Linked DNA regions of Pelodiscus sinensis. The protein of the gene in region 2 purifies or fractionates together with the protein of the main gene of each other region. This does not show direct contact. Links are inferred from orthologs where the notes say so. Each region holds a gene or a part of one and is shown on either strand. Other genes may lie near its edges.

Region 1 (3,744 bases), on a different chromosome or scaffold from region 2:
TCAGAGGTTGTAGTTCACTCAGTTAAGGGTGATCATGTTGTGACCAGTTTTTTCGTATGAGCTGGGGTTATAGGTCATGGCCCACAAATGGGGTGAAAGTTCAGGTCGGATGGGAACTACCCTCCTGTCCACCCCCTTTTATGTTTCTATAATGGGGGGGAGGGAAGAGCTAGGCGGGCAATTAGTTCTGCGCAGGCGCGGAGTCCGACACCGTGCTAGGGGGAAACTACCACTCCCAGCATGTCCGAAGAGGAGGACACGTGACCACTGTTAACTGCCTTTTGCCTGGGGGGGCTTCATGGGGAGGTGAACCCCCCCCACACGAACCCGTTTTGAATGCGCCGCTCACACGGGAAGGGGCTTCTCATTCTCGCCGGTGGCGTATACCCGCCACCGGGTGAATAGGTGGTCGGGTTCACCCCGACGGACTCAGTGCGCCGCTTAGGTGTCTACTTCAGTGCCTGAACCGGCACCAGATTCAATTCATTTCTACGCGCCCTGGGGAACTCTTTGTTACCCTGTTCTTGTCCCCAAAAGACCCGCTTGGCCATTTTAATAACCATTTACATGGGGCAACTCCCTCCGCAACAGGCGCTTTGCATAGACAGCTCTGGGGTCGAAGGCCTCCCCGTGCCGCCCAGGGGCCCATTGCAAAGGTTTCCGATTGGCCTCCACAGCTTTCGTTCCGATCTCTCATTGGCTGATGTCGGGGCCCGGGGACGGGTGGAAGGAAGAAGAGGAGGGGCTTTTCGCGCGCAGGGGCGACGTTAGCAAAGGGGGGATGTCCTTCGAACTTATTGGCCAACGTTCCACGTGGGCACGGAAAACAGTGCGTCCGCATTGGCCGACTTTCGACGGAGGGGGTGGAGCGTTAAGCTGTCCCGCCCTCCGGGTATATCAACCCCGGGCGGGGGGGGCCGACTTCCCATCGCGTCGGAGGTGGGAGACGTGAGACGCTGCTGTATTCTATCGAGCTTCGCGCGGGCGGGTGGGCCGCGCATGCGCTAGCAGGGGCGGGGCAGGCGGCCGAGCGCATGCGCCTTGGGGCCCTGCGCGGGGGGCGAAGGCCGAACGCAACGGCGGCTGCGCTGTGAGCGGGACGGGCGAGAAGGGCACATGCGCAGGCGGCGCCCGTCAGAGGCGGGCCGTTGAGCGGAGCCACTTGGAGGAGGGAGGCGGCGGCGGAGCTCAAGCCGCTCGCCCCGATGCAGGAGATGATCGAGATGGCGGCTGACAAGGAGACCTTCCTGGTCCCGACTCCGCCACCGCCCCTCAAGGCCCCGGCCGGAGCGGGCGGCCCCCTGGGGCAGCTGCACCAGGAGCTTGCCTCGGTGGAGTTACGCCAGGAGGCTGCCCCGGCCAATCCGCGCGGCGAAAGGGGCGGAGCCGTCGTGCGGCCGCACCAAGAGGCGGTCCCGGGCGGGCGCGGGGAAGGAGTGAGCCGCGGAGACGGCCCCCTCATGCAGCTGCACGAGGAGGCCTCCTCGGAGTCTCACCAAGGGGCCGCCCCATTGGGCCAGTGCAGGGGCGGAAGCGGCCCCCTGCCGCGGTCGCACCAGGAGAGCGCCCGGGTCGAGCTACACCCGAGGGCCGGTCCCAAGGAGGAAGATAGCGTGGGCGAGCTGCCCCGGCCTCGCAATGGCTTCCAGGCCCACCGGCCGCCCGGGGGTGGGGGCAAAAGGAGGAACAGCTGCAACGTGGGCGGTGGAGGCTTCAAGCACCCGGCCTCCAAGCGTCGCCGTCGGGTCAACTCCGAGTGCGACCCGGTTCTGCCCTCTGAGTTCCTGCTGGGGGGCAACATCTTCGACCCCCTGAATCTCAACAGTCTCCTGGATGAGGAAGTGAACCAGGCCCTCAATGCAGAGACCCCCAAGTCATCGCCGCTGCCTGCCAAGGGCCGCGATCCAGTGGAAATCCTCATCCCCAAGGACATTACGGACCCACTGAGTCTCAATGCCCAGGATAGCGATGCAGCCCTTGTGCTGGCTGCACCCTTCAAGTCGGGCCGAAAGCGCCACCGTCATCGGGGGCAGCAGCGGGGGGGTGGTGGTGGTGGTGGTGGTGGTGGTGGGGACTGCAAGCAGGCAACCTGCAAGTCATGTGGGGCCAATGGGGCCTGTCCCACCCCACAGCCCTATGAACTTAACACGGCCATCAACTGTAGAGATGAGGTGGTCTCTCCACTGCTCCCCCTCGCTGCAGAGCAGCAGCCAGGAGTGGGCTGTGTCACCCCCTCCTGTTCCTCTGGCAGCAGCCGCCACCGCAAGCGGCGCAGGACTTGCAGCAAATCGGAGGCAGCTGGGGGTGCCAAGCAGACGCTGCCTCCCCACACACTGGTGGCCAGCAAAGGTGGGGGCCAGGCAGGGAAGAGTAGCCCAGAAAAGGGGAAAGGCGCTGGGAGACAACAGGCACCCATGTCCAAGCGAAGGAGACAACACAGAAAATTCCAGTATGGCAACTACTGCAAATACTATGGCTACCGTAACCCCAACTGTGAGGATGGCCGGCTGCGGGTCATGAAGCCTGAATGGTTCCAGGGCAAAGAGGTGCTGGACTTGGGCTGCAACGTAGGGCACCTCACCCTCAGCATTGCCAAGAAGTGGAAACCTGCCCGGGTGGTGGGCCTGGACATTGATGGAGCCCTGATACACTCGGCCCGCCAGAACATTCGCCACTACCTGTCCGAAGAGATCCAGCAACGGCAGGAGGAAGAGGAGGGGGCAGAGGGAGCTGGCCCCAAGAGGAGAAGAAGCTGCTTCCCTGCCTCACTGACAGCTAGCAGGGGACCCATTGCTGCCCCCCGGGTGCCCCAGGACGGGGCAGCTGCTGACTTCCCTGACAACGTGATCTTTGTCCGGGTAAGAGGCCTGGCCTGGGTGGGAAAGGGGCTGCCAGGAGAAAATCCTTCCGGGCTGTAGCAGCCACCTACCTGGTTGCTTTCAGTGAGAGGTGGGGATTCACCCAACTGCCCATGTTTATACGGTGGTGCAAGACATGCCCCTGACAATCTGAGATGGGGGAGAGGAGGGGTTGTCTCCCATCCTATAGGTAGATAGCTCATCTCCTAGGCTGGCCAGTGGCTTAGATGGGAAAAGGCTGGTAGTATGGGGGGTTGTTTTTGGATAAGGGAACTGGATCCTTCTGGAATGGTTTCTCTGGCTGATAATAGGGTCTGTTTTGGGGAGATAAATGAGACACTCCATCTTGCTGGAGGGGGTGTGTGTGTAGGTGGCCACTATTCCTCATGCTTAGGAGTTCTATGTAACTGACAAGATGGTGCTACCTGGGGACAAAGGGGGATACCAGTTAAAAGGCTCAGTGCAGCTTCCCTCCGTAAAGCCCCTTGGGTGAGAGGATGCTGCATTGTGTCCCCTTAGTCAAAACACTTGTCCTCCTCCACACAAGCACAAGAGGGAGTGGAGATGCCTGTGACCTTGGTTAATTTGGTTCACGTCCTTGCCTCAGTTAACCTAAGAATGTGCTGGTGCCTCTTGCTCTGTAAAGCCTTGACATTGTGTGATGTCCAGAGCCCACTCTTGGATGAACTAAGTGCCAGTGGCAGCAAATGGGGTGGTGTGTGAGGAAATGCAGTAGCCAGCTGATCTGCTAGCCCAGAGGTGTGGAACCTTTTTTGGATTGGGGGAAATAACACCCAAAAAAACCTCATTGATATGGCCCCTGACTGGAAAGGAGAAAGCCGCTCCCCACATTCTCCTTGCACACCAGAGATTGAAGGGGCAAGCT
Region 2 (3,744 bases):
AAACATTAGTTAGCCTTCAAATCTAAATAGCTTTTATCAAAAGTAAACAGAAGAAAAATTTTAAAAAGTAATCCTTTCTCAATTTAAAAGCTCAAGCATCTCTGATCTTATGTCATAATTATGACAGTACAATTGCATAATTTCACAAGTTCTCCATCAGGGAGCCTTCTAACTTAGATACATCCTTAATTTCTCATGTAAAAAAACAAGCAGAAAAAACAAACTTTAAAAATCCATCCTTTTTAATCATTCTTTATCCATTGGACTACAGGCAGTCCCCGAGTTACGCGGATCCGACTTATGTCGGATCCGCAGTTACGAACGGGGCTTTTCTCGCCCCGGAGGACAGGACACCCAGATGCGCCGCGGTCCGCCGCCCCCGTCCTTTGGGGCGAGAAAAGCTGCTCCCTGTCTCCCTGGTCTGCAGGGAGACGGGGAGCAAAGCCTTAGAGCACACCCGCAGCGGGACACTTGAGCTGTCCCCCTGCGGGCGTGCTCCGCGGCTTTGCTCCCCGTCTCCTGACCAGCAGACCAGGGAGATGGGGAGCAAAGCCTCGGAGCACGCCCGCAGTGGGACAGCCGCGGCGCGCCTGGACTGTCCCGCTGCTCGCGTGCTCTGCAGCTTTGCTCCGCGTCTCCCAAGTCAGCAGGCCAGGGAGATGGAGCAAAGCCGTGGAGGACTTGGGTGGTCCAGCCACCCCCGTCTTACTGGTCTGCTGGAGGGGTGGGGGAGGTGCAGCTAGTGCCCCCCCCCCAGCAGACCAGGCTTTTCTTGCCTACCCCTGGGGTAGAGCAGCTGGGGGCTGCCGGGTTGGTCCCGCAGCGCCGCTCCGGACCAACCCGGCAGCAGCCCAGCTGCTCTGCCCCAGGCGTCCTGATTCAGCTGCTGCTGGTCAGTTTCAGCAGCGGCTGAATCAGGATGCCTGGGGCAGAGCAGCTGGGGTGCTGCTGGGTTGCTCCAGTAGCGCTGAGGAGCCGCGCTACTGGAGCAACCCAGCAGCACCCCAGCTGCTCTGCCTCAGGCATCCCCAAGTCAGCCGCTGCTGAAACTGACCAGAGGCTGACTACAGGAAGCCCGAGGCAGAGTTGCTCTGCCCCAGGCTTCCTGGAATCAGCCGCTGATCAGTTTCAGCAGCAGCTGACTTGGGGACGCCTGGGTTTCTTAAGATGAATCTGTATGTAAGTCAGAACTGGCGTCCAGATTCAGCCGCGGTTTAAACTGATCAGTTTCAGCAGCGGCTGACGCCAGTTCCGACTTACATACAGATTCAACTTAAGAACAAACCTACAGTCCCTATCTTGTACGTAACCCGGGGACTGCCTGTAGTGCATAAAGAACACAAACCAATTTGCAGATCACGATTAAGGCAGACAATGTTTTCAATAGAGTCCAGCTACTATGTGTAACAAAATTACACTCCTTACAAATAATTAAGACCTTCAAAAACAAAGATCTCAGACTACTGGGAAATGTAACTATGAACATGAAGGATTCAGCAAATTCCTTCCCCTCTATTATCCACCTCACTGACACCCTGACTGCCTCACTTTACTCCCCAATTTTTCCAAAATACACACAAAAGTCAAATCAACTAGTTACCACATTATAACATTCTATTCCCTAAATAAAGAATCCATTTCCAATGATCTCATAATACCTCTGGCATAACTGCACATATACATGCTTTTTTGTTTCTGCAATGAGAGTGCCCTCAATGGTCCCAATTATTTGACATTTCCCCCAGTTGGCGTGTGGCTCTCAATCCTTTGGTGGAACAAAACTCAAGACGGTATTTGAAAAAGTTAGTCCTACAGATGGGTCTGAATGGACTGTGCCGGGCATGTGCCCAGGAGGGCTGCCAAGCAGCGCGTACCCAGAGGCCTGAAAGGGTCCCGAGTAGCCCTTGCGCTCAAGGCTCAAGTAACCCCCAGGCACTGGACATTCGGAGCGAGCCCTGGCAGGAAGCGGGCCGGGCGAGGTAAGCGCGGGGCTCGCAGAGCAGGCGGCGGCGGCTCCTTTTCTTAAGAGAGAAGCCGCCACAAAGGCCAGGGCCGCCCGGTGCGGAGGGGGCGGGGGGGGCTGCTGCGCGGCGGAAGCGGCAGAGGAGGCCGAGCGGGCCCTACCCGCGGGGAGGGAGCCGGGCCCGGCTGGGGAGAAGGCGCCGCCCGCCCCGGGGCGCCGCGCAGGGCGGGAGGCCGCGAGGAAGCCATGTCAGTCCGGAGGGGCGAGAGCCCCGGGCCAGGCGTCACTTCCGCTTCCGGGTCCCGGGGAGGAGCGGGACGCTTGTGCTTCCGGGGGCAGGCCGGCGTTCCGGAAGGTGCGCGGGGCCTGACGGGAGGGGCCGGCGCGGGGCGCGGGAGCTGATCGGCGCGCTCCCCCCCTCCGCCCTGGTCGCGCCTCGCTGACCCCTCCGCCCCCCCGCGATGCTGCGCCGGAAGCCCACGCGCCTGGAGCTGAAGCTGGACGACATCGAGGAGTTCGAGAGCACCCGGAAGGAGCTGGAGGTGAGCGCCCCCCCCGGCCCGGCTCGGCCCCCCCAGCTCCCCCGGCCCGGCCCCCCCCCCCCGCTCGGCTCGGCCCCCCCCGGCGCCCCCCCGGCTCCCTCCGCCCGGCCCCCCCCCCCCGGCTCCCCCGGCCCCCCGCCCCCCCCCCCGGCCCGGCCCCCTTGGCGAGGCCCCGCTCTCCCGCACGCGCAGGCGGCCCCGAGGGGCGGGGGGGAGCGGCCGTGATGTCCCTGCGGGGCGATCGCTGCGCGAGCTCCAGGCCGCTCTGCACCGGCGGGCGCTTTCGCACAAGCGCATCCCTGGCAGCTGGGCGCTCTTGCGCAGGGAGCTCCCATGGCCGTTTTAGCCACAGGGCTTCTGCCGTTGCCTGTGGACACCGGCCTCTTGCGCAAGAGGGCTCGTCCCTCGAGGGGACAGGAGTAACTCGTCCGGAAGAAGCTGTTTTCCGACGCTGTGCTGTGAATTTACCTGCACAAGAACACGTGCGCAGTGCAGACAGCAGACAAGGTTTTGCGCACGAACAGTTGTTCTTGCACAAGAAACTGCCCGTGTAGACAGAGCCCATCTGTATACATGCACCAACCGCAGGGGTGGGCAAAAGAGCCTCCGCGGGAAGACTCCTCCCAGTGCCAGGGGCATGGGTGCCTCCGGGCTCCCCCACCCCCAGGCCAATCATGGTCTGAGGGTGGGGAAGCCCAGAAACATCCTGGCCCTGCCCCTTCAGTTGGAAGCCCCGCCCCTTCTGGAGTAGCCTGAGGCCACTTACAAAATGTTTTAAGTAGCCCCTAGCAAAAAATAGTTGCTCATCCCTGACCTACAGCTATTGGGGTCAAACACAGTATTTACATTGGCAGATGTAATGGCATATACAAAAGCTATGAGGCAGGAGAATGACATTGTAGTTCTCTGCCTCCCAGACACATCTGGAAACAAGGACTGAACTGAGGTGCAACAAGTTGAGCCCAGGCTAGAAGGGTGACTTTCTTTGAGTAGTAATACTTGAAGTTTTAAGCTGCAGGCTACTGTAACTGACTTTCAAGAATCTTTGCAATCTGCCCAAGATAACATTTAGGGTGAGACAGTACTATTTGTAGCCTGTGTCTTTAGTGCATCGAGTCTGTATATTTTACTTGCTCAGTAATCTTTGTTCTGTGTGCTGTCCTTTACATTCACTCTAAAATCTACCCTTTCTAGTCAGTAAACTTGATTTTATTTCTTGTGAAACGCAGTTTGTGAAAT
Region 3 (3,744 bases), on a different chromosome or scaffold from region 2:
TCTTTAGTACACAACTGCTTGTCCTCACCACCAAGTTCAGCAATAGCTTCCTTAAAAGCATCATACTCATCATCATTGCAGGACCTGCCAGAATTACTGTCCTGTTTTAGGGAACCTGCTGGAGAAATGGAGGGTCCATCGGTGTCTAAATTGGCCAGCAGTTTGCTCTTTTTCACTGACACCAGGCTGGATTCAGTCAGTTCTATCAATTGCTTCAAATCTTCCTGCAATTGGATCAAGTCAGATTGCTGTGATGGATCGAGCCCTGCCCCTAAAGCCAGCTCTACTTGTTGCAACTGGGCTTTATAGGTTTGAATTGCTGCTTCCAGACTCTCTTCATCCATTGTTATTGCAAAGAGCTGTTTCGCTGATTCCTGTCTGGGAACTTGGTAAATACTCAAGTATTTACTGGACAGAAATGTGAAATATGGAGTCTCTGTCCAAACTAGCTGTCAATCTCTGCAGTAGTCTTGTGTTCTTCCCTTTGCTGCAACCAGATGAAAAACACTGCAGGGAACAAATATTATAAAGCTTCATTAGAGAAAGCAGTCACAAGGATAGCCATCCTAATTGAATAGATATCTGTAATGCAAACAGCTACCACCGTATATCATTATACACACATGGCTCGTGTCATGTACATTCAACCTGCCCCGTTGATATCGCACTTGAAAAACTGTTAAGCTTTTAACTTACCTCAGAATTCAACCATGATTAACTAGGACATGCGAATAACATCAGCCTTACTTTTCTGTCCCTTTAAACTTGCAGTCCCATGACACAACACTACCACTCCCTACCTCCTCTTTAATTATAACTAGTAACAAGTGGGGTCCCCAAGGGTCTGTCCTGGGACCAATCCTATTCAACTTACAGGCAGTCCCCGGGTTACGTACAAGATAGGGACTGTAGGTTTGTTCTTAAGTTGAATTTGTATGTAAGTCGGAACTGGTACATATTGTAGAGGAAACTCTAGCCAAACATTTCTCCAGAGCTCAGTTTTATTCTCCCACACCTCACTTCCCTCAGTCCTTTATTCTCAAGCTGAGGTGTCTGCTGAGAAAAGCCGCTCCGCATCTCCCTGGTCTGCTGGGGAGGGGGGGGGGCGCGCTAGCTTCGCGTCTCCCTGGTCTGCTGGGAGGAAGCAGCTAGTGCGGGGTTGCCTCACCCCGTTTGTAAGTAGGGATCCGATGTAAGTCGGATCCATGTAACCTGGGGACTGCCTGTATTTATAAATGATTTAGAGAAAGGGGTAAACAGTGAGGTGGCAAAATTTGCAGATGATACCAAACTGCTCAGGATAGTTAAGACCAAAGCAGACTGTGAAGAGCTTCAAAAAGATCTCACCAAACTGAGTGATTGGGCAACAAAATGGCAAATTAAATATAACGTTGATAAATGTAAAGTAATGCACATTGGAAAAAATAATCCCAACTACACATACGATATGATGGGAACTAATTTAGCTACAACTACTCAGGAGAGAGATCTTGGAGTCATTGTGGATAGTTTTCTGAAAACATCCACTCAGTGTACAGCAGCAGACAAAAAAGCAAATAGAATGTTAGGAATCATTTAAAAAGGGTTAGAAAATAAGACAGAAAATATCTTATTGCCTCTATATAAAATCATGGTACGCCCACATCTTGAATACTATATACAGATGTGGTCGCCTCATCTGAAAAAAGATATATTGGCATTGGAAAAGGTAAAGAAAAGGGCAAGAAAAATGATGAGGGGTTTGGAACGGGTCCCATCTGAAGAGAGATTAAAAAGACAGACTTTTCAGTTTAGAAAATAGGAAACTAAAGGGAGATATGATAGAGGTCTATAAAATCATGACAGGTGTGGAAAATGTGAACAAGGAAAAGTTATTTACTTGCTCCCCAAATATAAGAACTAAGGGTCACCAAGTGAAATTAATAGGCAGCAGGTTTAAAACAAATAAAAGGACGTTTTTCTTCACTCATTGCACAGTCAAGCTGTGGAACTCCTTGCTAGAGGATGTGGTGAAAGCTAGGACTTTAACAGGGTTGAAAAAAGAGTTAGATAAATTCATGGCAGTTAGGTCCACCAGTGGCTATTAGCCAGGATGGGTAGGAATGGTGTCCCCAGCCTCTGTTTGTCTGGAAATAGGTGACAGGGGAGGGATCACATGAGGATTCCCTGTTGTGATCCCTCCCTCTGGGGCACCTGGAATTGGCCACTGTGGGCAGGACACTGGGCTGGATGGACCAGTCTGGTTGTTCTTACATCTTTCTGCTCACGTTGCCTCCCACGCAGGCGGCATTAAACCTGCTGTGAAAGTGGAGGCAAAGACCCCTGGGCTGCGCCCAACCCGCACCTTTCCTCTGCCCCCCCCCGCTCTGCAGGATCCAGGGGCTGCCCCCTTTGCCGCCCCCTGCCTCACATTCAATGGGGCAGAGGGAAGCTGAAAATCCCTCATGAGGGGGGGGTCAAGAGTCCCCATGGAGGGGGCCCAGCACCTCCCCAGCCATAGCAACCGGGGGGGGGGAGAATAACTCCCAACCGCCTCACGTGATCTAACCCCTCCCCAGCCAAGGCGACCCCTCCCCCCATGTGAGACACAGCAGCTCCCCCAGCGGCGGGGGGAGGGGCTACTCCCCTCAGTCGCCATGGAGACCCCAGGGGAACGGTTACCTCCATTGCCCCCGCGGCCCCTCCCTTACCTCAGGCCGCCCGCTCCCGCTAAGCCAGCGCAGCCGCCATGACTCTCTCCATTGCCATGGCTTCCGCCTCCCGGAACAGGCCACACCATAGACACCACCCGGCTTCCGGCTAGAGTCGACTTCCGGCTCCGTCGCCATCTTGGGCGGGCCAGTCCTCCAGCTCCTCCTCCAATGGTGTTTCCGGCGGGCTGAAGCGAGGACGCCTCCCGCGGCTGGGCGCGCTGAGCATTCTGGGAGCGGTGGTCCAAGAGGCCTTCCCCTTCCGAGTCCCTGGCGCCGGAGGAACTACGCTTCCCAGGGTGCCCCGCGGGCACGGGGCGGAGACAGCTGCCCACCCAGTGGGGGGTAGGAGGCGGCCGCGGGGGGAGGGGGGAGCCGATTCGAGCTGCAGCGGGAGTCGCGGGGCGGCTGAGTGGCAGGAGCCGTCGAGACCCGTCACCCAGGTAGGGGGCGGGGCCATCACTGTCCCCCAGCTCCGCGGGTGGGCGGAGCCTGCAGCCCCCCCAGTCACCGGCTCGCCGGGCTCCCCCTGCCCGCGGGGGGGCCCCCCGGCCTGGGCCGAGCGGGAGGGGGCGTGTCTGGGCCTGGCCCCCGCTGTGCAGCCCGGGGGGCGGGGAGAGGTGGGGCCGGAGCTGGGGGTCCGAGGTGGGTCTATGGGGCGGGCCCCAGCCGTGGGGCCGGAGCTGGGGGTCCGAGGTGGGTCTATGGGGCGGGCCCCAGCGGTGCGGCCGGAGCTGGGGGTCCGAGGTGGGTCTATGGGCGGGCCCCAGCGGTGGGGCCGGAGCTGGGGGTCCGAGGTGGGTCTATGGGGCGGGCCCCAGCGGTGCGGCCGGAGCTGGGGGTCCGAGGTGGGTCTATGGGGCGGGCCCCACCTGTGCAGCCGGAGCTGGGGGTCCGAGGTGGGTCTATGGGGCGGGCCCCAGCCGTGGGGCCGGAGCTGGGGGTCCGAGGTGGGTCTATGGGGCGGGCCCCAGCCGTGGGGCCGGAGCTGGGGGTCCGAGGTGGGTCTATGGGGCGGGCCCCAGCCGTGGGGCCGGAGCTGGGGGTCCGAGGT

Evidence for each region.
Region 1: the proteins of PRPF4 (region 2) and MEPCE purify together in Homo sapiens (affinity purification with mass spectrometry; 4 studies listed by BioGRID and IntAct, with this or other methods). This does not show direct contact. The link is inferred for Pelodiscus sinensis from reciprocal best matches to the Homo sapiens genes PRPF4 and MEPCE.
Region 3: the proteins of PRPF4 (region 2) and ZGPAT purify together in Homo sapiens (affinity purification with mass spectrometry; 4 studies listed by BioGRID and IntAct, counting the BioPlex papers as one, with this or other methods). This does not show direct contact. The link is inferred for Pelodiscus sinensis from reciprocal best matches to the Homo sapiens genes PRPF4 and ZGPAT.

The regions. Positions count from the first base shown.
Region 1 is NC_134734.1:8,771,873-8,775,616, reverse strand, and holds the start of MEPCE (7SK snRNA methylphosphate capping enzyme), read left to right. Parts: upstream 1-909; 5' UTR 910-1,205; coding exon 1,206-2,858; intron 2,859-3,744. UniProt on the Homo sapiens protein: S-adenosyl-L-methionine-dependent methyltransferase that adds a methylphosphate cap at the 5'-end of 7SK snRNA (7SK RNA), leading to stabilize it.
Region 2 is NC_134732.1:1,351,175-1,354,918, reverse strand, and holds the start of PRPF4 (U4/U6 small nuclear ribonucleoprotein Prp4), read right to left. Parts: upstream 2,257-3,744; 5' UTR 2,212-2,256; coding exon 2,125-2,211; intron 1,928-2,124; exon of another isoform or gene 1,668-1,927; coding exon of another isoform or gene 1,659-1,667; intron 1-1,658. Other genes in the region: anaphase-promoting complex subunit CDC26, read left to right, coding at 2,425-2,505. UniProt on the Homo sapiens protein: Plays a role in pre-mRNA splicing as component of the U4/U6-U5 tri-snRNP complex that is involved in spliceosome assembly, and as component of the precatalytic spliceosome (spliceosome B complex).
Region 3 is NC_134728.1:3,547,980-3,551,723, reverse strand, and holds the start of ZGPAT (zinc finger CCCH-type with G patch domain-containing protein), read right to left. Parts: upstream 2,915-3,744; 5' UTR 2,691-2,914; intron 508-2,690; 5' UTR 345-507; coding exon 1-344. UniProt on the Homo sapiens protein: Transcription repressor that specifically binds the 5'-GGAG[GA]A[GA]A-3' consensus sequence. Represses transcription by recruiting the chromatin multiprotein complex NuRD to target promoters.